Linked DNA regions of Neodiprion lecontei. The protein of the gene in region 3 interacts with the protein of the main gene of each other region in a pairwise test. Links are inferred from orthologs where the notes say so. Each region holds a gene or a part of one and is shown on either strand. Other genes may lie near its edges.

Region 1 (7,156 bases), on a different chromosome or scaffold from region 3:
GAGACCGCAAAACATTAAAAATTGTGTGTCGTTCCAGTAAGATTGGTCGTTAAAGTTACAGTCAGTGAAAAAAAGGAAGAAAAATGTCGATACATAAGTTAAACACAGTGGCAAAACTACCACTGATTTTGTGACTGAAAATTGATTTTTCAATAACTTCAAAATCGCGAAGATTGCGTTAGATTCGAGGGGCAGACGTAGGTGGTTAAGGCTGAATATTAAATGATAAAATAACAAATTGTATCCTAGACGCGTACGTACGTGCGCTTGTGTTTTTCATAATATTTGGAATATAAACGTTTCAAACGGATTTATTGGATATGTACTATTAGAGTGGTTCACAAAGAAAGAAAAAAAACATTTTTTTTGTGCTGCCTCCTGATAAAACTGTTGTATATTATGAAAAAAAATCTGCTGCACATTTGAGCTCGATCGGAAGAGATCTGGAGGTCCCGTTTTCAAGTTTTCCTTTACACATAGAAATAACACGTAAAAAATGCTAACCTTAACTCACTGGCAATTTCGCATGAAATTATAGAAGTAAATGAAAAATGTCAAGAGACCTTTTTTGTAGGCAACAATATTTTGTAAAATAAATAAATAACAAAAGCTTTTATTTTATGAGAATTTAATACGAATATTTTTGATCGTTCAATTTTATCAGTTTTAAGTTTTTGTACTAAATATTGTTGCCTACACAAAATAGAGGGTGAATGTCTCTCGAAGCGATTTGCTTGAGCCAGTAAAGGTGATTTTGTGTACTGCATCAATCACTCTGATTGTGAGTTATTAGTTGAATACGCTTCAAAAGAAATAATGAGAGTGTCACATCCTCGATGCCCTCTGCCCTTAGATATTAGGTACATTCTAAATTGTTTCATACGTTTTCTTGATATCATGCAATTTTGTACCGTTTTCTTCAACCGCTTGCACGATTGTTTCTTTTTTTCCGTTCTTTCTTGTGAAACAAAATAATCTTAATAACTATTTAGGTAAGCCACCCGCATGCGTGCGTCGGAGGGATTCTTTTAACATTTGCTGAGGACTAAATTGATGCCCGAAAATACCGAAAGGTATTTTCGAGGACAAGACATCTGGCGTACACACGCAGTGTAATAAAACCATCCATCAAATATTACCTGTTTCGGGTAGGATGGCGCAATAATAGAATACGTTATCTTTGCATATATGATGCAAGTACGGAAATTCTTACCCGCACCCGTGGAAAGGCTGGAGTGGGATTACGTAACTAACCCACTACGCTGGACCCAAAATATCATCTATACATACTTGAACTTCCTCATTGGCATAACTACCGTGAAAATGTAACGAACCAATCAGGAAGCGCGTTAGAAATCTGCACACTAAAGTACAAATCGTTAAAAAGTGTTGCACTAAGTAGAAGCTAAGCAGTTCAACAAAAATCTTTGAACAGAGCAGTCCAGATACGTCTTCTAACTAGGGTCGACCATCAAACAATCTTTTAACGATACATGGACAGTTGAAAATCATCCCTCAAACAGAGCAATTCTTCGTCCACCTTCGATCAGGGTAATTCACAACATTTTTTTAGATCTTAACGAATTGAATGACTCTAAAGAAATTCCGTGCTTCTAATACTATATCAAATAATATTATTTTTCATAACATTAACCAAACATTATAATCTCAACTTAGTTTGAATTTGAATAAACTTAATCATTGTGTTCAATTTATATTGTGAGTTAAAACCTAATTAATAACTAATGATAATTCATATCATAAATAGTCATCGTCGAGCACGCAGAGCCGCCCACAGCCCGAACCATCAAAATCGACTGAAGGTAAGTGATAACTTTTATTTTAAAAGCTCATCTCTTAATACGAGATCAACCAAAATATGATAACTCCTCGTTCATCTCAGGTAAACCGTGTTCAAGAACTTTGTCTTAAAACGAGCGTCAAATTATTGTGGCGAGTTGATTCTTTCTTAGATAAATAATAATTACAGTCAATCTAGCCCCTAACGATAGAATACTACGCGGGTATAGTAAATGGCCGCAACAAATTTATGAGAGCCATAAGTTTAACTATTTTACCTCTCCGCCACGCGATAGACGGAGATGATGATGGACAGCAATTTCAAAATCACGCTACTCACTCGTGCGCCACAGCAACGATATCTGCCAACAATAAGGCTGCATCCTCTTGGCCTGATAGCCTCCGTATGCATTCCGGCTTGTTTCGCGTAGTAATTAGCCAACCGTGGAGACTGTAAGTTTAATGGAAAAACTCATTACTGGCAATTCAAAATTGCTGAATTTTTGTACTGTAATGTGTTTTGTATATGTACAGTGGAGGACTAAACCGTTCGATTCTTGACACCAAGTGGTCTTAAAATCAACACTACAATAGTGTGGACTCTATGGAATATTTTCGGTGTTACATTTAACACAGAATTTCTAACGGTGCGACGAGTTCAATTTTTTCTTGTTATTGTTGGAATCTAACAGTAAATAACAGGGTGGTTACTAAATCTCCGATACGAAATTCCCTGAATTTTTCAGGTTTTCCAGCCAAAATTTTTAAAACAAATATCCCTGACCACTCGTATAAATTGGTTATAGCGAATTGATAAAAATATACGTATTTTCCACATCATTGTTTATTTTTTTATAAAAGTACGAACCGTCACTCGGGTCACACTGTCCCATCCAGCCGATGCGCACAATCGGTTGTAAGGTAATATTTAGGAATATTCAAAGTTTGAAGAGAACCTTCCGGCGGTGGTAAAAAAATTTGTATGCGATTTAATTTATCCAAAGCTTAAAAAAATTGTGGGACGTATGTGTATGATAAAAAAATATAGTAAACGATTCCCTGACTTTACGCAAAAACCTCTGACATTTCCCCGACTATTCCAGAATTGCAGAATTTCATGACGTTTCCGAGGTTTTCCAGAATTCTCTGACCAGTGACCACCCTGAATAAGTACAAACATTACAAAATAAATGACAGCTAATTTTTCAGGGTGTATGAAGAAATAACTTAAAATTATATTCTATTCGGAATTACTCACGGTGATTCGCATTGATGAATAACGATATCCTTGTGGATCTGCTTGCTGTGTTCTGAAACGACACCATGGATCACCGATATGGACGATCACTTACACAAATTGGCACGCTAATTGTACACTTCGAAAATTAAACGAAAATCTACTTTGAAATACGATGCACTTGTTAGTATAAGTATATCAAATAAGATTGCATTTGAACCGAATGAAGTGAGTTTACAGAGAATTGGATTAACATGATCCAGAATTTTACCCGAGTTCAAGTCAACGCGAATGAAAATTGAACCGATGGAATTTGCTGTTCAAATGCTCTCGCAGTGGCAGTTGATCGATTATACACGACGTGAATCCCATTATAAGCAACGAATTAATAATTTAAACCCGAATATCCAGGATATTTTGTAACATTTCTCTCACTTTGAACACAACTAATACCAAAAACGTCAACATTCAGCCGTTAAATTGGCGGCAAATTGTCAATATGGCGGCGCTTCGGTCGTTTGTCTATTGTTTATACTACAGGAACGTCATCTGAACCGAACTGTATTATAGTTCAGTGCACAGAACCTGAGAGCATATAAGGTACATGCTTTAAGCACAGAACCCACCGAAATTCATTGTCGAGTAAGATTTCTTTCAAATTTTTACAGCTGCAACAGATATCGTAACCTTGTTTTGGTCAACTGGCTTGCTAATTGAAGTAATGGATATTTATGCTCACAAGTATTTACCTTGACTTAGAACAATATTTACTAAACATCTCTGCGTGAAAATGTGATTATGGCATGATTTTTTGATAAGGTCGATCAAACGGCGATTCCGCAACTGTCGCCATGTAGACCAATCAGAAGGCAGTTTGAAACGGAAAATCTTCTCACGAGTGAAACCCGCTGCCGTGTAAACGAGCCCAGAAGTCCGCGCTATATTTACATCTCTGTTTACGATTTACACAGTTGTTACTTAGTCAATGGCCAAATACGAGAGTTTATTTTTGTACGATATATTAGTAACTGAATAAATTATTTTGTGCGTTGTGTTAATCTGTTACCAAACCTTTTGCACAATTTGAAGTGTAATATGACTGAATTACTCTACATCAATCATCCCATTATTTCGCTGAAGAAGAGTATGCGACAATGAGTTCGACGAAAAAAAGTAAAGTTAACCTCCCGAGTGGCTGGATCGTCGTCAATTCAACAAGCTTTCCCGACAGGGTTTATTACTTCAATGTTCGTACTGGAAAATCGTCTTGGACAGAACCGTCGCACGAGACGAACAAGGTACGTGGGTCACCCTGTTGTTCGACTACATTCATCTTACCACGTAGTTTTGTTACGTGTTCAATCGCATGTTTCATAACCTTGAAAATTCGCTAATTATCTCATCCAAAATCGAGCTCAGCAAAAGTTTAGTGTTTTCCTGCCAATGCTTATGTCAATTTACGTTGAATTACAGCAGTTCTTTTTTATTGCACAGTTTCAGCCCGAAAAAGCTGGACAAAAGCGTAAACTATCAACAGACACCGACGTGACCTCCCCTGATTCAACTTCCTTGGATAAGTTACAGAACTCCAGTGACAATGATAAGCCCCGGCGATTACTGCGAGCCAAGCGATGTTCGGAAACGTCTCAAATATCCGAAACACCACAGATGAAGGCATTGAGAGAGAAAATGACCAAGCAGAAGTCTAAATCTAACCAGAAGAAGAAGCCAAAGCAAGGTCTCTCTGTACCTGAAAATAGTACCCAAGATGTGCCACTGCTCAATCGTCTTGGTAGTGAGGAATTGCCCCTCTGCTCACAGCGGGCTAAGCAATATTCTGAATCGAGAGTAGTAGAAACGCCCCAAATGAAAGCATTGAGGCAAAAAATTTTAGAGAAAACATCGAAGTCTGTGCAGACCCGAAAGGCAAAATCAAACGTCTCGGGGCTCGAGAATAATAATGAGGATTTACCTCTGTTTGTGGATAAACGAAACAGCAGTATCAAATTAAAGACTCAAAGATGTTGCACTAAATTGTCTAATACTGATACCAGGAAACCAGACGACAATGTTTCCAATGTTAGGAGTACCTTGAATGCTGCAGAGTCATTTGTGAGCAAATCGACTACTTCAGTTACGTCAAGGCGTACAGAGAAGCTGAAAGTAGAAGGACACCGACGAGGTCTTAAAGTCGACAAAAAAAAGAATCTGGCCAATAAAAGATTGGACAGTTTAAAGAATAAACTTAGTACCATCCGTAAGAGAATAGAACCTGCTATATCTGCCAAGGTGGCACGGCGATTGGCAACACAAGATGCTACGTCTAGTAAACTCGATACAATATTCGATAAGAGTGTTGAGAACAATACCGTATATGAAATGCGCTCTATTAGCCCGACAGGTATTTCTATAATGAATTGATCCTAACAATTGTGTTTTAAGATGACATAAGTTTTCACCTAAATTTATCATGCTGTCTTCTCTGACGAATTTTTGCTACATTTCAGACCCATTGCCGAGCATTTATCAAAATACTGAATCACGATTCAGATCGCTCAGAGCAAGGCTCGCAAGCAGGTCATCTTCATCAGATATTAAAACTCAGCAAGAGAATGATCAGTCAGATAAAGCTGCCCTGTCTAATCTTCCAAACATTCCAAAAGTTGGCAGAAAAAAGAAGAAAACTAGTCATTTGGAAAAAACAGGCATAGATAGTAGTGTTGACGAAAGGGCTGATGTGTTTTTGAACCACGCTGTGGCACAACATGCAGATGAGGCCGCATTTTTTGAAGAAATGGAATGGGAACCCATTGAACAGGAAAAACTCATCGTCGAAGTGAGATACATATGAAAGCATTTTCCCAGTTTACGAAAATCATCATCATGTAGTAGAAAATCTAATGATAAAATCATTATTTTTAGGTCCAAGAAGTTAGGATGCATCTCTCTACCGATGTAGGTGCGACGGAGCAGAAACCCCCTAATTGTACTGTAAATGGCCTAGAGTTTTCCCATGTTTCTGAGAACAGGAACCAAACGGTTGTGTATATTGTTGTCGACACCAATGTCTTTTTGTCAAATTTGAAGACAGTTACAGAAATTTTGGAGGGTTGTCATCAAACGAAATTTCAATATAAACCTGTGGTTGTAGTGCCTTGGATGGTATTACAGGTTAGTACTTTTGGAAAACTTGGTACAATTTATTTTCTAAGAATAAATCAATTTTCTTGAGATTTAATTATTTTTTACATGTATTTGATATTCTTCTGCCACAGGAATTAGACTATATAAAGGATAACAAATTGCAGAGGAAATCAACACACTTACAAAGAAGTGCCAAAATCGCAGTTGACTTGTTGTTTCAATATTTCTCAAGTAACCACCCTCGACTGCAAGGTCAAACAGCTGCAGATGCTGCTTCGAACAGAACAAAATATCATACTGACTCGCCAGATGACGAAATATTGCAAACTTGTTTGAAAATTCGAGAATTTGGATGTACAGTTGTGAGTTACTCTCAGAGTTGATAGAAATTTAAGCGTTTACCGATTCACTGAATTATTTTTCTTAGGTTTTGCTATCCAATGACAAAAATCTCTGCAACAAGGCAATGATACACCATATCCCTACTTATGGGCGGCATAAATCTATTCAGGCAATGCTTTTGCTGAATGCGAACGAAATTGAAGCTAAATCCCCTATGACACAACTGAAACAAGTGAAAGGTGTTGAAAACCATACAGAAACGGTTAATTCAAAAGAGGCTGATACATCGGATGAAATTTTTTGCGAGGCAAAAGCTATAATGAAGAACTTTCTATCTGTTGTAGGTATTTTAGAAGTTTGATGCAACTTTTTTTTTTATCTTCATCAAACTTTCTAGTCATAAGTATGTAAACTTAACTCCAAACAATTGTCTTCCAGATCGTTTCAAAAGAAATGGAAAAATTATTTGGGGAAAAATGGGCAAGGCACGTGATAATTCAACCTCCTTGGTCAGTGATGGACGTTCTCAAGTGTACCTCGAAACACTGGATCGCCGCAATTAGTGATGTCTTTGTAAGACGGGCTGAATTCATGGTTACGAAACTGACAGAGATATTTCTCAACTCTCCAAGT
Region 2 (6,861 bases), on a different chromosome or scaffold from region 3:
GTGACAAGAGACCGCAAACGGGGATCACTACGGCGTGTGCCGGTCTCAGGATCCCCTCCTTCGACCCTGAATTAGGACCCTTGTTCTTCCGATCGTTTTAATCAGATTTGCGAATCATCGAATTATCTTAAGAGACAGCTTACTCTCGGGTAGATGTCTTCAACTCGAATTGGTGAAGAAGCACATAGTATTTACGTTTGTTACGCTACAACTGTTCTCTAATTAACCTTTGTTGGAGAGGTAAAAAACAAACAAACACTGAAAGTAATTTTGAACACGTTAAGTTATTGATTATATAAGTATACTGGTCCATCGTTTTTCGAAAAGGTGTAAACCCTTACGAAAAGAGAAGCTTTGGGACCGGTTTAGAAGCGAAAGACGCGTTCAGCATTGCGAAGCATGACCGGATGTGAGGAATTTGATGATGGAGGGACAGCATCTTTCTTCTTTTTGGAACTGCGAGTTTTTCCTTATACACCATCTCTGTATGTTTCAGCTGCAGTGCGAGAAAGTTTCGAGAGACGATTCGTCGCGGAGTGATTCGAATTCTTCCGTGTGGGATTACAGCAGTCCGGAATCGGATCGGGAAGCCGGGTCGAATCGGGACAAAGACAAATCGCGGCTTGGGGAAGACGAGAATCGGGATTATAATTATAAGATTACAGGTGCCCGCTCGTAATGCGCGTTGTACGACTCGGTGGTTATACGGGAACTTCGAGGATCACCCTGGAATGAAGCGGTCTAACGTCAACATGCAAACCGGCAGTTTTCCAGGCTCATTCGGCCGTTCGCGTGCAGGGCTCGTAAATAATTCGTCCAATGAAACGCGGAGCACGTTGAAGTATGCGATTGGTGGCACCTGGTTCCGAGTTCGAAAGACCTGGTCCGATCCGGTCCAATGAGGGTTCTCTCGGAGCGATTACCTCCTTATTACCTCTCGGCTTCCTACCTCTTGCCCTCCTATTACAGCTTGTACACCGCATGCCTACGTGTGTGTATATATATATGTATATGTATATAATGTATATATATATGCATATGTATACCTAACAACCTCGACCGGATGGCCCTCGCTAAATGCTAATTTCATAATAACAGTCTTCGCGCCAATAGGGTTCTCGGGAACTTGTAGTCTGTCTATTTTTTATACCTCGTAAAATGGTGAGTTCGGAGCTGAGCTGTGCCGAGATATGGTGTAGTATAAGGTAGCCCCAACTCAGTACCTGATGCGCGTCGAAGACTCCTCCTCTCTTTCTCTTCCTTCCTTCCTTCCTTCGCCGCAACTCAGCATTTAACCCTTCAACATTTACATACGAACTCGTCATTTACCCCCCCCCCCACTCACTTTTGTCGTTAACAGCCGAAAATGGTATTTTTAATTAGGTGGAAAATTACACGTAATTGTGTCTTTCCATGCGACAGCGAAATACGTATGCAAATTAGTATTTTTTTATTTTATTTTCCAATAGTATCGATTCAGAAAAGAAATAAAAATAATTATTCCGAGGAAAGCCTTTTCATTTTTTTCGGAAGATACCGTTATTGATAATTACTGTGGATTTTCTAAACAAACTGTCATACAATTGGATACAGCATTTCTGACGACATATGTCGTGCCAGTGCAACCTTCCGGGAGACGAGAAAAGCTTCGCTGCTTCTTCAAAGTGCTCGCAACTATCCCTTGTCTCCCATTTGTCAGAGACCGCCTGACGTCATGGAGAACGTCATGAAGAGAATTATTAAAAATGCGCTTTTAGAAAATGGTAAGAAGATGCTTGGAATCTTGAAGACGTTAAAAGAATAATGATAATTATTTCTCGCGGAAGATAAAAAAAAAACCGATGAAAGCTCATTTCTTAACTATATCAAGTCAGAGTCTTGTCAGTCCAAGATGCAATTTTGCGTTAAAATATTTTACGAAACCCTGAAATTCAAAATGCCATTTAACGTAGTGGAACAAAGGGAATCTCATTGTTAAAGTGAAAAACAGTTTATTATGAAATATATGACATCGACGCACATGAACGTCATCAATTATCTTCAGGCTTAAAATAAATGTATATATATATATACACACATTCAAATCACGTTAATGAGGAAGCCTCAAGATGAGAAAGGTTTGCAGAATTTCGATGCGAAGCATCTCGCCAGGATGTCTGTAAGCTGACGCTGTATCTGGCTGTTCGGTAAGCAAAACGAAACCGGCGACTGCAGCAGAGAAACATCTACTCAGCTACGACGAGAAATAATAAAGTGGGAATGAGCGAACCGTACCATAAATTGCTTCGCTTCTTGTTAATGGTCAGCAAGACTGCGCCGCAGCTTCGGGCCCCCGGGGGGAAACCTCGCGGCTAAACGTAGTTCAGTCAGTATTCCTGGTAGCCTTATTGTATTTAATGGAATCAAAGTTACGATCGCTATTTCGCTGTACCGAATCACCTGCACCGCGGAGGCCGTTTTAACCGGTGTTATTAAATTCCTCAGCTCGAAACGGATCGAGTATACCACCGCCTAATTATTTTTATATACATACAATCGATCTCCCACTGCTCGGAAATATACGTAAAGTGCTAGTTATAGAATTGAATCATTGGATTTTTCAGCAATTTACGGGTGCGAATTCGACGTCGATAAATTTATCGCATGCAAATATGCTCATAATTTAATCGCGTATTGTTCAACTATGTTTCTATAAAAATCGAAGATGTTCTGGCTTGCTGCTCGACACTTTTCTAGAGATTCCATCAGCTCGTTCTCCGAGAATCGACCAGTTGTGTGGCAAGACACCAAGTCCTTTTTTATACCCTCGAAAACATACGTGAACGTGACCCGTGCCTGCTGCAATTTTCAATTATTATCAAATATATTAGAATTACGTATGATAAGTAATTGAAAGGAATTGAAACAAAGTAACAATAATAATACGTCATTTTTTGTTGTTTTAGGCCCAGCGTCCTTCAAAACTAATGCTCATACTTCAAAATTATAACTCCATAAAGTTCGGATTAAAGGAAATATTTATACATGAAGGTAATATTTAAAACAAATACCACACTTTTGAATTACGAAATTGACTCAACTAGGTGTTCTGAGACTCAGAAAGTAAAATTAGACAAAATTCGCTGGTTTGTCATTTCTGCTCTGATTAACATTTAGAAACATATAAAGGACAATACATGAAGAAAGTTGTGATCTTTCTCGTCTCTCCTTAAAATTTGTTGACAGAGCACAAAAACAATTTGATCAAAATTAGCGATTAAGGCTTTACTTGAAAATTCAACCTAAGGTTCTAGTTGTAGAAAGTTAGATTATTTCCAAATAGTTCAAACTGGGCAAAAAAAGAAAATACCAATAGCATTTAATACTTATAAATGTGTGAAAGAATATGAATTTTACTTGAAATATTTCAAATATATAAATATAAGTTTTAGAAACCTGTATTTGCGTGCTATCAGGATCTACAATCAGTTTGCCGGACTCGCGGTCAATCATGCAGGATACAGCAGCGACAGTGAATTTCATAGAAATACTGGAGATTATGAGCGCCAGGCAAGCAGCATTAATGGCACAGGCGAGTAACTGCAAAATTGTACGTAACACGTGAGTATTATCTCTTTTAATAAAAGACACAACGAAAAGTGGAAGTAAAGTGGAATCGATTGTTTTGTAATGAACCGATAAAGTGAAGTGATAGAATTGTATTGTACAACACTTAATCAATAAAAATACCAACTCCTCCAGAATCCTGCAGTTCTTGTACATTTATGCTTATTGCCATGCCAGGGTGCAACGCAGTCAGCAGTACAGCCTCGCACGTTTCCCTGATGACAGTTTCCTTCGCTCTGTCGTCGACACCTTAAAATACAGAATAATTATCAAAATGTTAAATCACGTAACAAGCGAAATAATCTGTTAAAGAGCTATAATCAAAATATCAGGATTGTCGGCAGTCAAGAAATACTTACACGGTGGTCCTTTTGCAGGACTAAACATTGTTTCAACGGTCGCTCTGTCGTGCATCATCTTTTGTAGCTTCGCTTCAATTGGTCCATAAACTCCGGCAACAACGACGGTGTCACCTGGAATCGATCATTTGAAAACACCATCAGTTCAGAATTATGGTATGTACATATTAGATACCACAAAAGAGCCGTGCAATAAATTTGAAAAATTGGAATATGTGAATCTAGGAAACTAGGTATGTAAAATCTGGATGTTTATGTGATGATAGCTAACATAAAAAATAAACAAAATAAATGGGAACTCACGCTATGAAAACAAACGACCGTTCACACGAATTAGTTACCTTGCATAAACATTGCCGAACCATCCGGTCTGCTCAGCTGATTTAATTCACAGTTCATCGGTCTCAAAACGCACTCCTCTTCCTCCGTAGTTTCCAATTGGTTTTGCATTTCAATTCGTTTTCTATCTTCGCCGCTCCAATTTGAACTAGGTTAGGAGCAGACAAATGGAAGACACGCGTTGCATCGACGCCAGAGTTAAAGCTCATGAGATGTACGACATGGGGATATCCAGAAACTCGGCGTCGCGGCTTTTCATTGGTCCACGTCAGGATATCCCTAGATATAGCGGAAAGATGTGCAGGGTGCCAACTGCAGAGTATCAAAAAATTCCATGACAGTTTAGCAGCCGATTCAAGTCAAAACGTTATTTATAAAAAATAAGCCACGTGCGATTCGGAAGCAGACGTATTGTAATAACCCTGAAAATGTATAAGGACATTCTATAAGTTCAATTTAATTGGAGATGAAATTTCGATACTTGTACACTAATGTCGTTTAAGACGAGTGGATTTAAGCGGTCAGCTGTTCACCGGGGAGAAAAAGATGGAGCACAGGTGACATATGTGTGGACCTTGGGGCGCGAGTTTATTAATCGTTTGTAATTCAGTTAATATAATCCCCATGAAAAGATAAGTAGGCCCGAGTGATGACGCGATACGTGACGAAAATTTGACGGCAATCATCCCCCCGTCGGACCTTCGTTATTTCCTTAATTTCGAGGATAATGACCAGTGGAGAACGCGACACAAGTCCGCAAAGAAATGGTGATAATTTGCGGCCGACCAATGATTCAGGAAGTGATAACGTGGTCCAAACATCACTCGCAACGAGCTCCGCACTAGAAGAACGATTAGCCTCGAAAATGTTACACTATGGCAAAGAATTATGTTTCTTTGCTGCAATATTATTCACCACCTTAGCTGCTCTTCACACTTCGTAAGTTTTTTAAAAATAGTTAAGGTTATCCGCCAACTCACCTCAATAATTCTACGTTTTTTAATCATCTAGCATATTGTAAAAAAAATCAAATGCCAATATCATGAATTACATTGTAGAAGAAATTATTTTTCAACATTCATTTTACCTTTGGATATTCTTTAACAACACTATTTTACAACGGCGTTCTATTACTGATATTTTTGAATATGTATGATCCGAATCAAATTTAGGAAGTGTCAAATATCGTTACTTGCAAGCGGAGTCAAACTATAGAAATCAATGTTCAATAAAAACCGGTAAAATTCTCAAATATTACTTTCAAAAACATCAAATGAAACCTTGACTGCATTTAATTGTAAAACATGATCTCTCATAGATTTTTTTAGTTGATTAAATACATGTATAACGTATCTGATAAACAACTAGTTTAATAGCGAATTCTCAACTTTGAATGTATTTACAGGCCACCAAAAGTGTCACAACCTCCTTCAGCTCGGCCATTCTTTAACCAAAGCTCGCTTGTTTTGGATTTTTACAAAGGTCATTTAGGCGCCGCTATTGAAAGAGTCACAGATGCAGATCTCAGTTTTGTTATGTACTACGCACCATGGGATGCCGAGAGTCAAGCCGTTAGACAAGAGTTTGAAACTGTGGCACGTTTTTACCACAAACAGGTTCTCATTAATTCATTTACTAAGTTCTATACATAAATCGTTATTCAATTATTGCTTCTTGCCTTTGACATTACTACAAAAACTTGTGGAAACCACACTAACTTTAATTTGTTAATTTTCAGATATTTTTTGCAGCCATTAATTGCTGGCACCCGGGTTCAGAATGCCGGGCTGAATACAGCAAGATTCAGAGCTACCCAGTTTTTATGCTCTATCCTAGGCGAGGACCTGGTGTTCAGTACAGAGGTATTCGTACTGCACCGTACATGATACGCTTCCTCCACGCATTTATGAACCCAATATTCAGAATAACAGACAGAAATCAGCTCCTGAACCTGATTGTAGACTATGACGTAGGTTTGATTACGTTTCTCCCTCTGTCCCTCTCTCTCTCTCTCTCTCTCTTTCTGTTCAATCTGGGTTGCGACCTCTACATGTTTATTGTTATTATCACTTAAGTTATCTCCACATATATGTGAAATTATCACAAAACCTTATGTTCTAGGCCGTGGTGATAGGTTACTTTAATTTTATCGGACTGAAAAACTCACCGGGATACAATGTCTTTTACAAAACGGCAATTAAATCACTAGAAAGAGATCCTAACAAAGAGTTAGCATTCGCAGTGGTTACTGACACTTCTGCAGAATCTAATTACGGAGTTACGGAGTTTCCTTCTGCTAGGTTGCTACTTTGGAACGAGTCATTGGTACGAGCAAGTTTAGCTTGAAAATATATAAATATAAGATTTTGCCTTTGATTCATCTGTTGAACATTGTGCTACGATAAAATATTCATTGTACAGAGTTATCCTGTGGAAAATGAATGGAAATCTGATAGTTTACTGAAGTGGATTGGCGGAGCACTGCATCAAGCTACTCTTTGGCTGCAACCCCCAGGCACCAAGTCTCTCACACTAGCGCCATATTTGAAGGATGGAC
Region 3 (8,198 bases):
AATCGTGCCACAATTAATTTATTCCAGCACTTTTGAAAATCGCGAAAATTTTCGCAAAAAATACAAAGGGGTTAACCTTCCTTTTTTTTTGACCAAAAAATTTTTCGTCTCAGAATTGATTCGTATGACTCTTTCCCGACCAATTGGACCCCAAGGAACTCAGAAAACGCAGCAAAAGGAGCGTGGGATCAACGGGTGAGAAGATACGAGGAAAAAAGCACCTGCTGAAAAATGTCGAAAATTCGGGTTTTCGTTTTTTGGCTGTAACTTTCGATGCGTTGATCGCAGCGTATTGGGACTGCGCCCAATCGATTTCTCTCGCAAAATTACGTCGGAATCGTGCCACAATTAATTTATTCCAGCACTTTTGAAAATCGCGAAAATTTTCGCAAAAAATACAAAGGGGTTAACCTTCCTTTTTTTTTGACCAAAAAATTTTTCGTCTCAGAATTGATTCGTATGACTCTTTCCCGACCAATTGGACCCCAAGGAACTCAGAAAACGCAGCAAAAGGAGCGTGGGATCAACGGGAGAGAAGATACGAGGAAAAAAGCACCTGCTGAAAAATGTCGAAAATTCAGGTTTTCGTTTTTTGGCTGTAACTTTCGATGCGTTGATCGCAGCGTATTGGGACTGCGCCCAATCGATTTCTCTCGCAAAATTACGTCGGAATCGTGCCACAATTAATTTATTCCAGCACTTTTGAAAATCGCGAAAATTTTCGCAAAAAATACAAAGGGGTTAACCTTCCTTTTTTTTTGACCAAAAAATTTTTCGTCTCAGAATTGATTCGTATGACTCTTTCCCGACCAATTGGACCCCAAGGAACTCAGAAAACGCAGCAAAAGGAGCGTGGGATCAACGGGTGAGAAGATACGAGGAAAAAAGCACCTGCTGAAAAATGTCGAAAATTCGGGTTTTCGTTTTTTGGCTGTAACTTTCGATGCGTTGATCGCAGCGTATTGGGACTGCGCCCAATCGATTTCTCTCGCAAAATTACGTCGGAATCGTGCCACAATTAATTTATTCCAGCACTTTTGAAAATCGCGAAAATTTTCGCAAAAAATACAAAGGGGTTAACCTTCCTTTTTTTTTGACCAAAAAATTTTTCGTCTCAGAATTGATTCGTATGACTCTTTCCCGACCAATTGGACCCCAAGGAACTCAGAAAACGCAGCAAAAGGAGCGTGGGATCAACGGGAGAGAAGATACGAGGAAAAAAGCACCTGCTGAAAAATGTCGAAAATTCAGGTTTTCGTTTTTTGGCTGTAACTTTCGATGCGTTGATCGCAGCGTATTGGGACTGCGCCCAATCGATTTCTCTCGCAAAATTACGTCGGAATAGTGCCACAATTAATTTATTCCAGCACTTTTGAAAATCGCGAAAATTTTCGCAAAAAATACAAAGGGGTTAACCTTCCTTTTTTTTTGACCAAAAAATTTTTCGTCTCAGAATTGATTCGTATGACTCTTTCCCGACCAATTGGACCCCAGGGAACTCAGAAAACGCAGCAAAAGGAGCGTGGGATCAACGGGAGAGAAGATACGAGGAAAAAAGCACCTGCTGAAAAATGTCGAAAATTCAGGTTTTCGTTTTTTGGCTGTAACTTTCGATGCGTTGATCGCAGCGTATTGGGACTGCGCCCAATCGATTTCTCTCGCAAAATTACGTCGGAATAGTGCCACAATTAATTCATTCCAGCACTTTTGAAAATCGCGAAAATTTTCGCCAAAAATACAAAGGGGTTAACCTTCCTTTTTTTTTGACCAAAAAATTTTTCGTCTCAGAATTGATTCGTATGACTCTTTCCCGACCAATTGGACCCCAAGGAACTCAGAAAACGCAGCAAAAGGAGCGTGGGATCAACGGGAGAGAAGATACGAGGAAAAAAGCACCTGCTGAAAAATGTCGAAAATTCAGGTTTTCGTTTTTTGGCTGTATCTTTCGATGCGTTGATCGCAGCGTATTGGGACTGCGCCCAATCGATTTCTCTCGCAAAATTACGTCGGAATCGTGCCACAATTAATTTATTCCAGCACTTTTGAAAATCGCGAAAATTTTCGCAAAAAATACAAAGGGGTTAACCTTCCTTTTTTTTTGACCAAAAAATTTTTCGTCTCAGAATTGATTCGTATGACTCTTTCCCGACCAATTGGACCCCAAGGAACTCAGAAAACGCAGCAAAAGGAGCGTGGGATCAACGGGAGAGAAGATACGAGGAAAAAAGCACCAACTGAAAAATGTCGAAAATTCAGGTTCTGGTTTTTCGGCTCTCACTTTTGATGCGTTGATCGCAGCGTATCGGGACTGCGCCCAATCGATTTCTCTCGCAAAATTACGTCGGAATAGTGCTACAATTAAACCATTCTAGCACTTTTCAAAATCGCGAAAATTTTCGCCAAAAATACAAAGGGGTTAACCTTCTTTTTTTTTTGACCGAAAAATTTTTCGTCTCAGAATTGATTCGTATGACTCTTTCCCGACCAATTGGACCCCAAGGAACCTAGAAAACGCAGCGAAAAGAGCGTGGGATCAACAGGAGAGAAATTGAGTAGAAAAATACACCTGCTGAAAAATGTCGAAAATTCGGGTTCTGGTTTTTCGGCTCTAACTTTTGATGCGTTGATCGCAGCGTATTGGGACTGCGCCCAATCGATTTTTCTCGCAAAATTACGTCGGAATAGTGCCAGAAAGAATTTATTCCAGCACTTCTCAAAATCGCGAAAATTTCCGACAAAAATGCAAATGGGTTAGCCTTACTTTTTCTTCATTTTTTGGCTGAAAATCTTTTGAACTCAGATTTGACTTGTATGACCCCGTCCCGTCAAATTATTCCCCGAATAGTTTAAAAACGTGCAAATAGATCGCCACAGCTCCGTCCGATGAGGAAATACGTCAAAAACACGTAGTAATTCCTCTTAGCTGCTAGTCCGTTTATCTCTCATCACCTGTAGTTTTAGACTGTGTACATCCGATTTGTTCTTTAAAGTTTTGTCGATATTTCAGATAGCTACGTCGTTCATAACTTATCTGGCCTTATCGGCATTACAGAATCCTTTATTAGTCGCAGTACCTACGTTACCTACTACGAAATCGCTGGAGTACATCGAGTTTACGAAACCGACCAACGTGAGTCCGCTAGAGAATAACGTAGTTTGAGCATGGTTGTTCACGATTTGGTGTTTTCGACACTGGGATGTTTTTAACATGAAATCACCTGATATTCAATATCTACACAGCACAAGGGTACTTTAAAGTCTTCTGTCATATAGAATAAGTTCGCATCGACTCCAGTTACGTGGTCTCACTCAGAAACGTTCGAGGCATTGGGTTAACCTCAAATTTTTAGATTTTTGATCCGAGATATTCTATCGATCTTATAATGTCTGAGGACGAAGTCGAAAGTTTTGAAATAACAGACTACGATCTGGACAATGAATTCAACATTAATCGTCCTCGGCGAAAACTGTCCAAAAAACAACAGATGCTTGGTAAGCAAAAATCTATTATCTTACTTTGAATTCTCCTAACTCTGTTACATTCACATATTTCTCCATCACTAAATGTAATCGTCAGGAATATGGGCTGATGACAGTGATGAAGAAGAAGTGCCAGCACGACCTTCCTTCAAATCATCAAATCGTGGCCCCAAGAATTACACCGCACCAGTTAGTTTTGTTGCCGGTGGTATTCAGCAAGCTGGACAGCCCAAGGATGACAAGAAAGAATCTGATGGAGACAAAGATGATGACGACGAAGGTGGTCGGCCAAAACGAGGAGATGCTGATTACGTTCCCAACAGTTCTAGGTATAGCTTTTAATATATTTTTTCTACCATAGTTTATGAATTATCAATCATTGTAGTGGTATTAAATATCAGTTTATTGTACAATTTTCTATTCTCAGCACAATCAAACTCATTGTGTCATCAACATAAATTAGTGTCATGAAATTCTAAGCTCTACAATCACTCTTCCACAGCTATCGCTCCCATTCTTACGCCTTTGTACAATCCATATCCTGTTCTTTTACATTCCAGTGACTCAGATGACCAAGGACCGAGCTTCGCTAGAGCAAAGCCATCATTTTCCTTGAATCTAGAAGGTGACATAGCTGGTCTGCGAAAAAAAAGAACATCAGTTAACCCAGTACTTATGAAATCAGGAGTCGGAAGTTGGGAAATGCACACAAAAGGAATTGGAGCGAAACTCTTGCTTCAGGTTAGTACACGGTTCGTTTGTTACCTATTAATGAAAGAATATTCACCTGCGATGACCAGTGTGTCGGATTTTCCTGTTATAGATGGGTTTTGAACCCGGTAAAGGTCTCGGTAAGAAGTTGCAAGGTATAATGGCTCCGGTAGAGGCTCATCTCCGTAAAGGCAGGGGAGCGATAGGTGCTTATGGTCCAGAAAAATTGGCCAAGGTGCCTGAAAAGAAAAAAGACGAGGATGTAGAGGAGGAGAAGGAGTTCAAAGCAAAATTATCGCAATGGCGAAAGGGGGAGACGGTCAGCAAGAAGAAAGTGAGATATTGCTACAGGAGCGTTGACCAAGTACTGGAGGATGGCAAGTTAAGACCGAACCGAAAAGTTCAGTTGAACAGTGAAATGAGCAAAGTCAAAGTCATCGACATGACAGGACCTGAACAACGAGTGTTAAGCGGCTATCATGCAATCGGTGGTGGACAACAGCGACCCGATGAGACTGTTACACCGGTCGATGTAAAGAAAACAGGCGTGAATTTCGCCCTCCCTGAACTCCGCCATAATCTCAATTTGCTAGTCGATTTGTGCGAGCAAGACATTATACAGAACGATCGCCGAACTCGTCATATGTCCGACAGGGTGGTAGCTCTTGAGGCGGAAAGGTCAAACTTATCTAAGATAGTAGACCAGCACGAACAGCTAATGGACACTCTGGAAAACGTTCTATCTATCGTCGATCAGCTCATGGACCAATCCAATGATCTGTCCCTAGAGGAAACTGCAGCAGCCTTCAAAGATCTTCAGGAGAAATATTACGAAGAGTATAAAATGTACGAATTAGGTGAACTTGCCACAGGCCTGGTTGGTCCCAAAGTTAAGGAATTCTTATCTACTTGGAATCCATTGACGAACCCTACGCACCCCATTCCACTATTCAAGCAGTGGAAAAATATTCTTGAAAGTGGCAGAAGCACCTTGCAAAGCGGAGCTCTGCAACCCTACGATCAACTAGTATGGAACTCTTGGATGCCGTCAATAAGAGGCGCTGTACAGTGAGTATTTTTGTCTTCAGAAAATTACATTGTCAGATATCAGCTGATTAGTGGAACTTACGTAGGTGTTGACTCTTTCAGACAGTGGGCTTGCCGGCAACCTGATCCTCTAGTCGAGCTTCTAGAGCAATGGATTCCTCTTCTGCCAGGATGGATACTGGAAAACATACTCGACTTGTTGGTTCTACCCAAATTGACGCTGGAAGTTGAGGAATGGAATCCTCTCACCGACACAGTACCAATTCATACCTGGATTCATCCCTGGTTACCATTGATAGGTAAGAGTAGTTGCTGAAATTTGTGATAAAAGAATGGTAACGGATTCGGAGTACAAGGGATGAATTATTTAAGTTCGATTTAATACATTCTCTTACTTTCCCCATCTCCGTTCATGATTTTCCGTAGGTAATCGCTTAGACACTGCAGTGTATCCGATCATTCGTCGTAAGTTGGGCTCAGCGCTAGGAGGGTGGCATCCTTCGGACAGATCAGCAAGACTGATGCTGCAGCCGTGGTCCCTGGTGTTCAAGAAGGGAGACATGGAAGCTTTCCTGGTGAAGAACATCATTCCAAAACTTCAAGTAGTTTTAGCCGAATTTGTGATCAACCCGCACCAGCAGCATCTGGACCAATGGAATTGGGTATTTGAATGGAACGAAATGCTGCCGATTCACACCATGGCAGGTCTACTGGATAAATTCTTTTTCCCCAAATGGCTTCAAGTCCTGGCTCTCTGGTTAAATCATTCTCCCAATTACGATCAAGTCACCAACTGGTATATGGGATGGAAGGGAATGCTGAGTGACAAACTGCTGGCAGAGCCGCAAATAAAGGGCGAGTATCTGTCAAGTTTTTTCTCACGTAAAGGACGTGTCGCAATAAAACCTAAACGTGCTCATGAAAATATTTCGAATTTTCAGACTACTTCAAGAAGGCGTTGGACATGATGAACAGAGCGGTAGCGGCACCTCAGGGACACCAACCCGGAGCAATGGAACAAGTGTCCTACCTCACAAATCTCGAAAGAACTCAAACCGCTCTACCTCCGTCTGCGCCAGCCGCTCAGCCCAGGATGGAGGTGAGAACAAGAGAAGAAAGATTTTATTTTATCTTTGTATCGCCGTGTAGTTAACGCAGATATCTATAATGACGAGTTTCTATGATTTCCACTTCAGAGAATTGCCGAGGCCGTGCGTACCGCGTCGCAAATTCCACAAGGCTTCAAGGATCTCATACAAAAGCGGTGCGAGGAAAGAGGCATCCTCTTTATGCCCGTGCCAAACAGATACAGGGAAGGGAAACAAGTTTATAAAGTCGGCAACGTTCAGGCTTACATCGATAGAAACGTCGTCTTTGTTTGCCACAACGGATCCACATGGGCTCCGACCCATTTGAACGCGTTACTGGACATGGCTGAGATATAGGATTGTAAATACCATTGTACATACTTGCAGTGAAGTCTTAGAATTTAGATAAATTAAATATGTTCACGATGAAACGATTGTGACGAATTTTAATTATGCGGTTCGCTATGACCCTTGCCATCCATCCATCCTGTTTAAAATATTATATCGGAGATCCGTCATATCGATATAGCTAGCCCATCAACATGTAATTTCAGGCGAATTACACATACGTTTGTCGTGCGGCATTGAGAATATGCGCAGAGAGAAATATTTGGGACTTTTATAATTAAATCTGACTCGAAGTGTTAAATTTTACAATATCAGATGACGTCTCATGAGAATGCTATTGGTAATCAGACGCAAACATCAGACGATGTTGGATTCATTACAAAATAAGGCGGGCCTGAATAATTAATACTGTAAATATACCGCAGTGTATATCTATTTTAACGGTAACCACAAAGCACAAGCAGCTCAATACGTCAGTGTACTTGGGCGGTTTGTTTATTTAATTCCGTATGCCTCATTCGATTCCAGGCGTATCACGCGATTCAACGGGTTAAAATCCGGAAAGATGACCTAGCGCATAAACGAGGGAAGCATAGGCGAATAAGGCATAAATCGGCGGAGCAGCAATAACGATAATTAATGCCTTAGAGAGGTAGGCAGGCAGGCAGGCAGCAGCAGGCAGCAGCTGTGGAGGCAGGGAAGGTTCTCCACCTCTATTTAGCTGTCTCGCGTCGAAGGCGTGTAGGCGCCCCTGGTTATCCCACCACTAAGGTGCAGCTTAAAAACTTCTCGATATGGAAAGTTGTATAGTTGATTCCCGCGGAGACGAGGTCTGGCTACGGGCAGCCAACACCGACGCGACTTCGGTCGCGTTGAATGGGCATCCTTCGCCCACGCGTCATGATCCGCGACATCCGCGACGTCCTTCCCCCCCACCTCACTACTTCGAAGCCAGCGACGAAGGGCAACGCAGTGACTTCAAGACTCCTCGGCATTTCCTCCTGCAGCAGTCACGAACGCGTCTCGCGGTGTTGGGAAATTTGCATCCCGGCAAGATGCGAGAGTGCCTGGTAACTGTCCGTCTCCGCGAGGCTTCTTCCCTCTCTCCGGCACCTATCCAGGACCTGTAAACTCCAACGGTGCAGCCTCTGAGACTCCGGGGCACATTGTCTGATGCCGATCCTTATTCTCTATGCGCAACAAGGAACTCGCGTCACCCGCTATGCGAAGTACTTATTGTATCACGTGTACCTACTCTTGTACACCCGTATATACGTGTATACCCAAGCTATCCTACAACCTTATACACGCAACGTAATTTATGTCGGCGTAAATTGCGGAACGCCGATAAACGCGTATGGCCGCAGCTATCGCTGGGACTCTCGCTATACCAACGTCCGTTTGTGCACGAATTGACGTGCAGTATAGGATCGAGATACCACCTCGCCGTGCGGATACACCTATCTTCTGATTGAAGATCATTCGCTGTTCCAAAATATCGTATTACATCACTATTGTCATTCC
Region 4 (7,230 bases), on a different chromosome or scaffold from region 3:
AGCGACAACTCGATTGAAATATGGAATGTAAAAGAGGCGCCATTCTTAGAAAGGACGATATTTGGTCACCCGGAAAGTTCGGTAGAGACTGTATTATGGGTGAGCAACAGGCTGTTTTCAACGGGCCTAGTAGGAATGGTAATAGAATACGACCTGGGAAGTTTGGCGCCAAAATACGAGGTAGCAGTGACCGGCGGAGCAGCATGGTGCATGGACGTGAATAAATCGAAAACACAGATAGCAGTTGGGACAGAGGATGGTTATATAAACACATTCAATGTGACAGATGACTACCTGATATACGATAAAATATTCGACAAACAAGAGGGTCGAATATTATGCATAAAGTGGGATATTACGGAGCAAATGATATTCACTGGGTCCATCGATACAGTTAGAATATGGAATGCAGTTTCAGGTCACGCTGTTCACAGAATGACGACATCTAGGAAAGAGGCGAACAAGGAAACAATCGTCTGGTGCCTGGCTGTGACCAATGACAATGTTGTTGTGTCCGGAGATTCCAGGGGGATTCTTTCATTCTGGGATCCAAACATGGGAACGTTGATAGAGTCTCACCAAAGTCACACTGCCGACATTCTCGCGGTCGCTATGAGCAGTGACATGAACACTGTTTACTGTGCAGGTGTAGATCCCACCGTTTGCAGCTACTCAAAAATCACTATCAAGTCTAGCGGCAGATGGGTGAAAGGTATCGAAAGGCGGCTACATGAACACGACGTCAGAGCGTTGGTAGAATCAAACGGGAAACTCTATTCAGCCGGCGTCGACGGGCACTTGGTACAGTCTACATACCCACCAAAAACCATGATAAAGTATCCACCCATTTTACAGTCCCCCTGTGTCCTGTTAAGTGAAATGTCAAGGTGCATACTATTGAGGTACAGCAACTACCTTGAACTATGGAAACTTGGATCGATTAGTAGAAAGTCGCAGCAGAATTTTCAACCTGGCACAATACATCAGCTCGAAGAAGAGCCGATCAATTTACTACAGCTAAGAACAAAGGCTAGTGAAAGCATAATATCGTACGCCATAACTAAAGACTCAAAAATGATAGCTTACTCAACGAACTCTTACATCAGGATTTTCAACTTTGATGTAGTAAATAACGACCCTGTTCTCTCACGATACGAGACCTCAAATTTGCCTGTGCACAAAGCGCACAAAATGTTATTCAGCCCTGATAATTCTAGGATCGTATTGGTCGATGGTAGTAAGACAGATAACGACGAGATAAAGATAATATTTATGAAGAATCAGGCAGGCTCGTTAAATTACGAAGGAACGATACCTGTTGGAAAAGAACTAGTCGATAATATTAATCTGATCTGTTTCTCGCCGGATGGCGTATACTTAATCTGTGCTGATTATCAAAATAACATTGCCATCTATCACGTCGGAAAAGATCTCAACATTCGTGCGCCTAAGCTATGGTTACTGCCTAGGTACAAATGCCCACCGACCGCGATGGCTGTACAAGAAAACACGTTGAATCTAGTTATTGTGTATTCTGATCACAAGGTATGTAAAACAAATGTCTGGGTGTGAGAATAATGGCTGGATTACGCAAATAAGTCGTCAATTCACGCTATTTTATTTTTCAGATCGTCGAATACAGTATTACAGAAAAACGCTATACACAGTTTTCTACAAACTTAGAGGAAAAACTGCCAAAACAATGGCTTTCTCGGGCTATACCTATCAGTCATATAACATTTGATCCTAGGAATGAAAATTTAATAATAATGCACGACAACACGATGATCTGCGTTGTTGATAAGGCGAAAAATTTGCCCAATTCAGGAGCAAAAATTTTCAGATTGGATAACGGCGACTCTATGGATAACAGTAATCATGAAACGAATTCACATTCTCAAGGAGCTTTTCGAATTGTCAAAAAATATAAGGTAAGTTAAGGCTCATAGGTAATTAAACTAGAGACAAACCTAGTGGATGCATCATTGCATGTTTCCCTCTTATTTTAACTATCATGTTTATTCGACTTCCTTTCTGATCCATTATTACAATAAAGAATCATTTATATCGTGTATTGATTTGAATATCTTTGTTTCAGAATTTAGTACACCTAGGTTGGTTGGTCAATGATGAAATGGTAGCTGTTGAATTAAATCCGGTCAAATTGACGGAAAATTTACCACCATCTCTTAAACAGAAGCGATTTGGCATGTAGAGCATTCCTAAACACACTGATATCACATGTGCGACGATACACTGAACCAAGTAAAATGTAATTTTCAACTTTGACTTTACCGTCATTCTTCATACAATCCTGATCATTCCTAGTCATCTATTTCACACGATATAAATATAAAGTATAATTTGAACGTGACCTCCTAGTAAGTACGAACACACGAATGACAAGTAAAAAACTAAACTCAAAAATTTATTATGTTGTCCGATGTTAATCAATTTGAAGGTCTTCAATTTCGTATTGGGAAATTAAATGATCTTAGATGTGATCCAAAAATAGAGAAAGAATATCAATTGTTTATAACAAATAAATTTTTATTGCATTGTTATTCGACTTGAGACAGTAGAATATTTAAAAATTATACATATAATTCAGGCTAGTTCTGTCACATGTTACAGCAAATTATTAGCTATAGTTTCACCGCCTATATAGTCTGTCAGCATTTTGCCTAGCTATTTCAGGATTAAATTGCGAATTATATTTCTGTTGTATAATAGGTTTTGGAACTTCCTTCACTGCGGGTTCGATTGGGTCTCCGTTCAATTTAGCTAACAGCATCTTGGTCTTTAATTTTTCAGCATTTTCCCGTCTTAATCTCTCTGCTCTTAATTTTTCTAAATCTACACTAGGCTTAGGGGTAGGCTCCTCAGTTTTCGACCTTTTATGTTTTTTTGATTTCTTACTCTTGTGTTTTTTGTATCTCTTGCGATCACCGTCTCTAGTACACGATTCTAAGTCACTGGAATCGCGTTTTCTTTTCACAGAATCTGTAGTTTTTAATTTTTCTCTCTTAAAATTTGGTGACGATGTTGACGGCAAAGTTGAGCCCATTATCTTCATGTATTTCCTGATATCGTTTATCGGGTCATTTAGAAGTTTTGTTTTAATCCCAGCCTCCTCATATTTTTCAGTCTCAGAAAGCCTTTTTGGAAGTTCATTGTACCAGCTCTTGTTTCCAGTAGCTTCATTTGTATCTTGTCCCAAATAAGTCAAATATCCAATTTGCTTTTCATACTTCTCCTGTTCCTGCTTTTTCTCAATTTCATGATCAGCATTTGGTTTACTATAATCAGTTTTTCCATCTTCGATGTCAGCAAAAAAATTTACGTGCTCTAAGGGGGCTTCTGATGTTGTTGCTTCCTTAGCACCCTCATCCTTTCCATCTGCAACTTGACGACCGTCGTACCTCTGCCTTGCTTGGTCTCTGAGAAAATTCGTCCTAGCTTCAGTTTCCTGAAAAAATGATAAATAAACAATTGCCGATAATTTATTGTTCATTTAAAAATAAATCATGTTCTTAGGTTTTTAGAAATGCAAGAGACGCAAGTCAATGATTCTGTTATATATTTGGGTAATCGTTTTATCGTAAACATTAATTATATTGGTACAAAACGAGTTCTTACGGCTTTTTGGACCCGGGCTTTTATAGCCTTTTCTTCCTCGGCAGCTTTAGCTTCATCTCGACGTACCCTAGCAATGTTCTCTTTGGTGCGAACGTGCCATCTGCAGAACGAAATAACAAAAAAAAAAAAAAAGGAAATACCAACATTATAAACAAGTACTTAATTTAGATGGATCGAAGACTTTTAATCGTACTACTATGATTTCATCTGTAAACACAGCTAACAATAAAAACAAATAATTGTGTGACATGAAAGCTATTCTGTGGAGTAGCCAATCATACGTATAACCTAAAAGTAACAAATTTTTTTGAATCAATTTTGTCACTCACCGTTTTTTGGGTAAAATATTCATGTTGATTAGATTTTCAAAAACCTAACAATTATATATCTGCCAGCAGCTAAAACGGTAACGCTTGTATTGTTAGTCTTTTTTGAACAGTTCCGAAAATTGTAATATAACACTTCACAATATCAACGTTGACTGAAAATACATAAAGACGGCTAGCCTTATGGGGCTTTTCGTGATCGAAAATGGCCGACATGAATTCATTGTTAAGCAGCGCTCTCTGCGTTGTCCCGTACACGCGCAACTCAGTCCGGCATGCGATCTGTAAATAATGGCGACACGAACTGATGTTTTCATCGCTCACCGCATGTACCCTGATAATGCAGAGTCGAATATTACTATGCCTTTGGAATGACGAACGAGAACAGACTGAACTTTTCATATAAATCCGTATGGACGCCGTGTACTGTTCAACTACGCAAATTCATTTGAACTAAATTCAGCAATCTCAATCTAACTCTATCGGAGCGACAAAAATAATGTTACCTAAATAGATGCACAATAACCATACACCTGGTTTATTGTTAACAGTTAGAAACCTTTTCTTGATGCAAAGGATGATATACATAGTTAAAGAAGTTACTCAAAGAATGGAGATATATAGTTGTTCCTATATGTACATATGTTATGTAATTTTTACACATGTTTAATACTTAACTCGTACTGTTAACTGAAGGTAATAATATATATTTTCAGTCAACGCTCATATCTTCGTTCCGAACGAAGATGCAGCTGACATATAAAAATAATTTCTCGACTCACGTTAAATTGCCGTGGTTTTTTAAAATACAGTTTATTTGCAGCAGAAAACCCAGACCTTTCTACACAAAAGTACTACTTGTAAATATTTTTTGGAAATTAGGTAAGATTCGATTGTTACTAATGTTTAGTCCAAAAATGGATTTTCCTGATTCCGTATAACCAAATTATTATCAATTATCTACGATATGTGTCAAAAAAACACAGATGAAAGGTTGTAAGACCTTTTGGTAGCTTCAAGAGTGTTTTGCTTCCAACAATCCAAAGATTCTGATCTATCGCAGTATTTCTATAGATTTCCGCAAACAGAATTTACAAACTTTGCAGACTTAGATAGAAGAAGAATTTTACGGAGTGAAGAGGAGTCGTTGGTAATACGACAATGAGTTACATTATATATGTTAAAATTACAAAGAACTTGTCAGTAATTCATGTAATTTCTTGGTAATCATCCAAGAAATATACATCGTTGATGAGTTGTTCGAACTGCATCGGGTTCTGGTGGTGGGCTGATTGTCCGTTTTGGAGAAATATACATAGGCCCGTTAAATTCCAAGTGATACTCTTTCTGTGAAGATCGCTATCTAACAATGTTTGTTTTTGGAATTGGTGGCGAGGCGGACAACTGACGCGTAAAACGGTTAGTTATTAATACAAAAGTTAGTAATACAAAAAATTCAAGAAAGAAATACTGGGAATGCTATGCCGGATAGACAATTGAAATTGAACCAACTTTTTCGAAAAGTCGAGTTGTTCAATGAGTAAGGAGTAAAACTTTTAAATTTTACAATTTAGCGATTTTACTGTGTCAACTGCGAAAGGTCAAGCGAGGGAGAAAGATGTTTGAATTGCCAATCAATTGCCAAAGGTATGTGCACCTTGTTGACTTTCATTAAAAAACGAAATTTAACAAACAGAATGTATTTACGCGTGTATTCACTCTGACTAAACTACAGCAATCCGAAGATATTACGACTCCACATGCGTTAAGACATTATCGGAGCATGAGTTTTATTGGCAATGAGTTAAATTCACGCAAGATTAAAATTGTCATTTGAAAAACTACAATATGTTAGTATCTGACCAGTTAAAATAAGTTCACTTATGCTCGTTTCCACACCACCGCAAGCAGTAGGGTACTCGGCGCGTTTTTTTTTTACGTGGTATCCCCAGTAGGCCTATTCCACGGAGAATACTTGCAAGATCGATTTTATGTTCTTTGAAAAATTGCGAATGACTTTTTTTCACATGTTAATTATAGTAAATTATTTTTCCCAATTACTTTGTACTCGCATCCAACTTTTTTAGTTGAATGTACTCGCATATATTCACACTTTATTCGAAATTTTTCAATCCATATAACCCGATGAGTATTGATTATTGATGAAAGATGACTGTTTTAATTATGGATGAAAGATGATTGTTTTAGTTATGGATGAAGGATGATTGACTATGGATATTCGTGCGCAGGTTTTTGTTTCTTATGAGGTATGAGATAATCACTAAAATGGAGAACGAGGTCAATTCGCAAAACAATTAACCACTAAACCAGATCTAAGCCTAAAAAATGAAAAGTTAATTTTTTAGTATAGTCAATAAAACTCAGTTAGCTGGAACAGATGAAAATATAATTAGTGACATATGTAGATATAGACAAAAATATAATTAACTTAGATAAGTAAAAAATATAAAGACAAATTAATTAGCTGAAACAGACAAAAAGATTGACGGGCTGAAACAGACAGAAGATTCGATTAGCTGAAACAGATAAAAGGTTTGATTAGCTAAAAGAGGCAGAATATTTGATTAGCTGAAACATACAAAAGGTTAGATAAGCTGAAATAGACAAAAAGATTGATTAGCTGAAAGAGGCAGTATATTTGATTAGCTGAAACAGACAAAAGGTTAGATAAGCTGAAACAGACAAAAAGATTGATTAGCTGAAAGAGGCAGAATATTTGATTAGCTGAAACAGACAAAAGGTTAGATAAGCTGAAACAGACAAAAAGATTGATTAGCTGAAAGAGGCAGAATATTTGATTAGCTGAAACAGACAAAAGGTTAGATAAGCTGAAACAGACAAAAAGATTGATTAGCTGAAAGAGACAGAAGATTCAGTTATCTGAAACAGGTAACAGGTTTGATTAGCTGAAACAGACAAAAATATGGATTAGCTGAAATAGACAGAAGGTTCGATTATCTGAAATAGATAAAAGGTTTCATTAGCTGAAACAGACAAAAGGTTTGATTAGCTGAAACAGACAAAGGTATGGTTAGCACAATCACATAAGTCCATATATTGCCAAAAAATGGGTCGAGCCCAACATGATATTCGCTTTAATATTCGTTGCTTCGATTATTAATTGTATTGAACAGACATTCTAAATTGTTTGAATTGACATCTCTTTCTGCTTTGATTTATTAAAGTGAATATCTTTTTTGACTGAACATTCTATAGTTCTCAGTGCATTTGTTAAAAAATTAGT

Evidence for each region.
Region 1: the proteins of septin-interacting protein 1 (region 3) and methyltransferase-like protein 17, mitochondrial interact in binary tests that used the Homo sapiens proteins (3 or more experiments, as listed by UniProt). The link is inferred for Neodiprion lecontei from reciprocal best matches to the Homo sapiens genes TFIP11 and METTL17.
Region 2: the proteins of septin-interacting protein 1 (region 3) and exosome complex component RRP46 interact in binary tests that used the Homo sapiens proteins (3 or more experiments, as listed by UniProt). The link is inferred for Neodiprion lecontei from reciprocal best matches to the Homo sapiens genes TFIP11 and EXOSC5.
Region 4: the proteins of septin-interacting protein 1 (region 3) and leukocyte receptor cluster member 1 homolog interact in binary tests that used the Homo sapiens proteins (3 or more experiments, as listed by UniProt). The link is inferred for Neodiprion lecontei from reciprocal best matches to the Homo sapiens genes TFIP11 and LENG1.

Annotation. Positions count from the first base shown.
Region 1 is NC_060261.1:625,802-632,957, forward strand, and holds the start of methyltransferase-like protein 17, mitochondrial, read right to left. Parts: upstream 3,754-7,156; 5' UTR 3,674-3,753; coding exon 3,664-3,673; exon of another isoform or gene 3,111-3,663; coding exon 3,059-3,110; intron 2,252-3,058; coding exon 2,141-2,251; intron 2,122-2,140; exon of another isoform or gene 2,079-2,121; intron 1,716-2,078; exon of another isoform or gene 1-1,715. Other genes in the region: transcriptional protein SWT1, read left to right, coding at 4,192-4,335, 4,532-5,438, 5,545-5,873, 5,960-6,208, 6,313-6,543, 6,609-6,863, 6,962-7,154. UniProt on the Homo sapiens protein: Mitochondrial ribosome (mitoribosome) assembly factor. Binds at the interface of the head and body domains of the mitochondrial small ribosomal subunit (mt-SSU), occluding the mRNA channel and preventing compaction of the head domain towards the body.
Region 2 is NC_060261.1:41,971,016-41,977,876, reverse strand, and holds exosome complex component RRP46, read right to left. Parts: upstream 4,598-6,861; 5' UTR 4,416-4,597; coding exon 4,307-4,415; intron 4,080-4,306; coding exon 3,966-4,079; intron 3,856-3,965; coding exon 3,734-3,855; intron 3,580-3,733; coding exon 3,436-3,579; intron 2,839-3,435; coding exon 2,656-2,838; 3' UTR 1,975-2,655; downstream 1-1,974. Other genes in the region: thioredoxin domain-containing protein 11, read left to right, coding at 5,032-5,243, 5,710-5,920, 6,043-6,273, 6,426-6,629, 6,726-6,861. UniProt on the Homo sapiens protein: Non-catalytic component of the RNA exosome complex which has 3'->5' exoribonuclease activity and participates in a multitude of cellular RNA processing and degradation events.
Region 3 is NC_060265.1:1,084,097-1,092,294, reverse strand, and holds septin-interacting protein 1, read left to right. Parts: upstream 1-3,130; 5' UTR 3,131-3,383; coding exon 3,384-3,492; intron 3,493-3,577; coding exon 3,578-3,809; intron 3,810-4,040; coding exon 4,041-4,221; intron 4,222-4,303; coding exon 4,304-5,259; intron 5,260-5,340; coding exon 5,341-5,537; intron 5,538-5,664; coding exon 5,665-6,093; intron 6,094-6,179; coding exon 6,180-6,337; intron 6,338-6,434; coding exon 6,435-6,683; 3' UTR 6,684-6,757; downstream 6,758-8,198. UniProt on the Homo sapiens protein: Involved in pre-mRNA splicing, specifically in spliceosome disassembly during late-stage splicing events. Intron turnover seems to proceed through reactions in two lariat-intron associated complexes termed Intron Large (IL) and Intron Small (IS).
Region 4 is NC_060266.1:21,388,374-21,395,603, reverse strand, and holds leukocyte receptor cluster member 1 homolog, read right to left. Parts: upstream 4,177-7,230; 5' UTR 3,992-4,176; coding exon 3,969-3,991; intron 3,740-3,968; coding exon 3,640-3,739; intron 3,470-3,639; coding exon 2,654-3,469; 3' UTR 2,216-2,653; coding exon of another isoform or gene 2,099-2,215; 3' UTR 1,932-2,098; coding exon of another isoform or gene 1,629-1,931; 3' UTR 1,600-1,628; downstream 1-1,599. Other genes in the region: U3 small nucleolar RNA-associated protein 4 homolog, read left to right, coding at 1-1,545, 1,629-1,931, 2,099-2,215.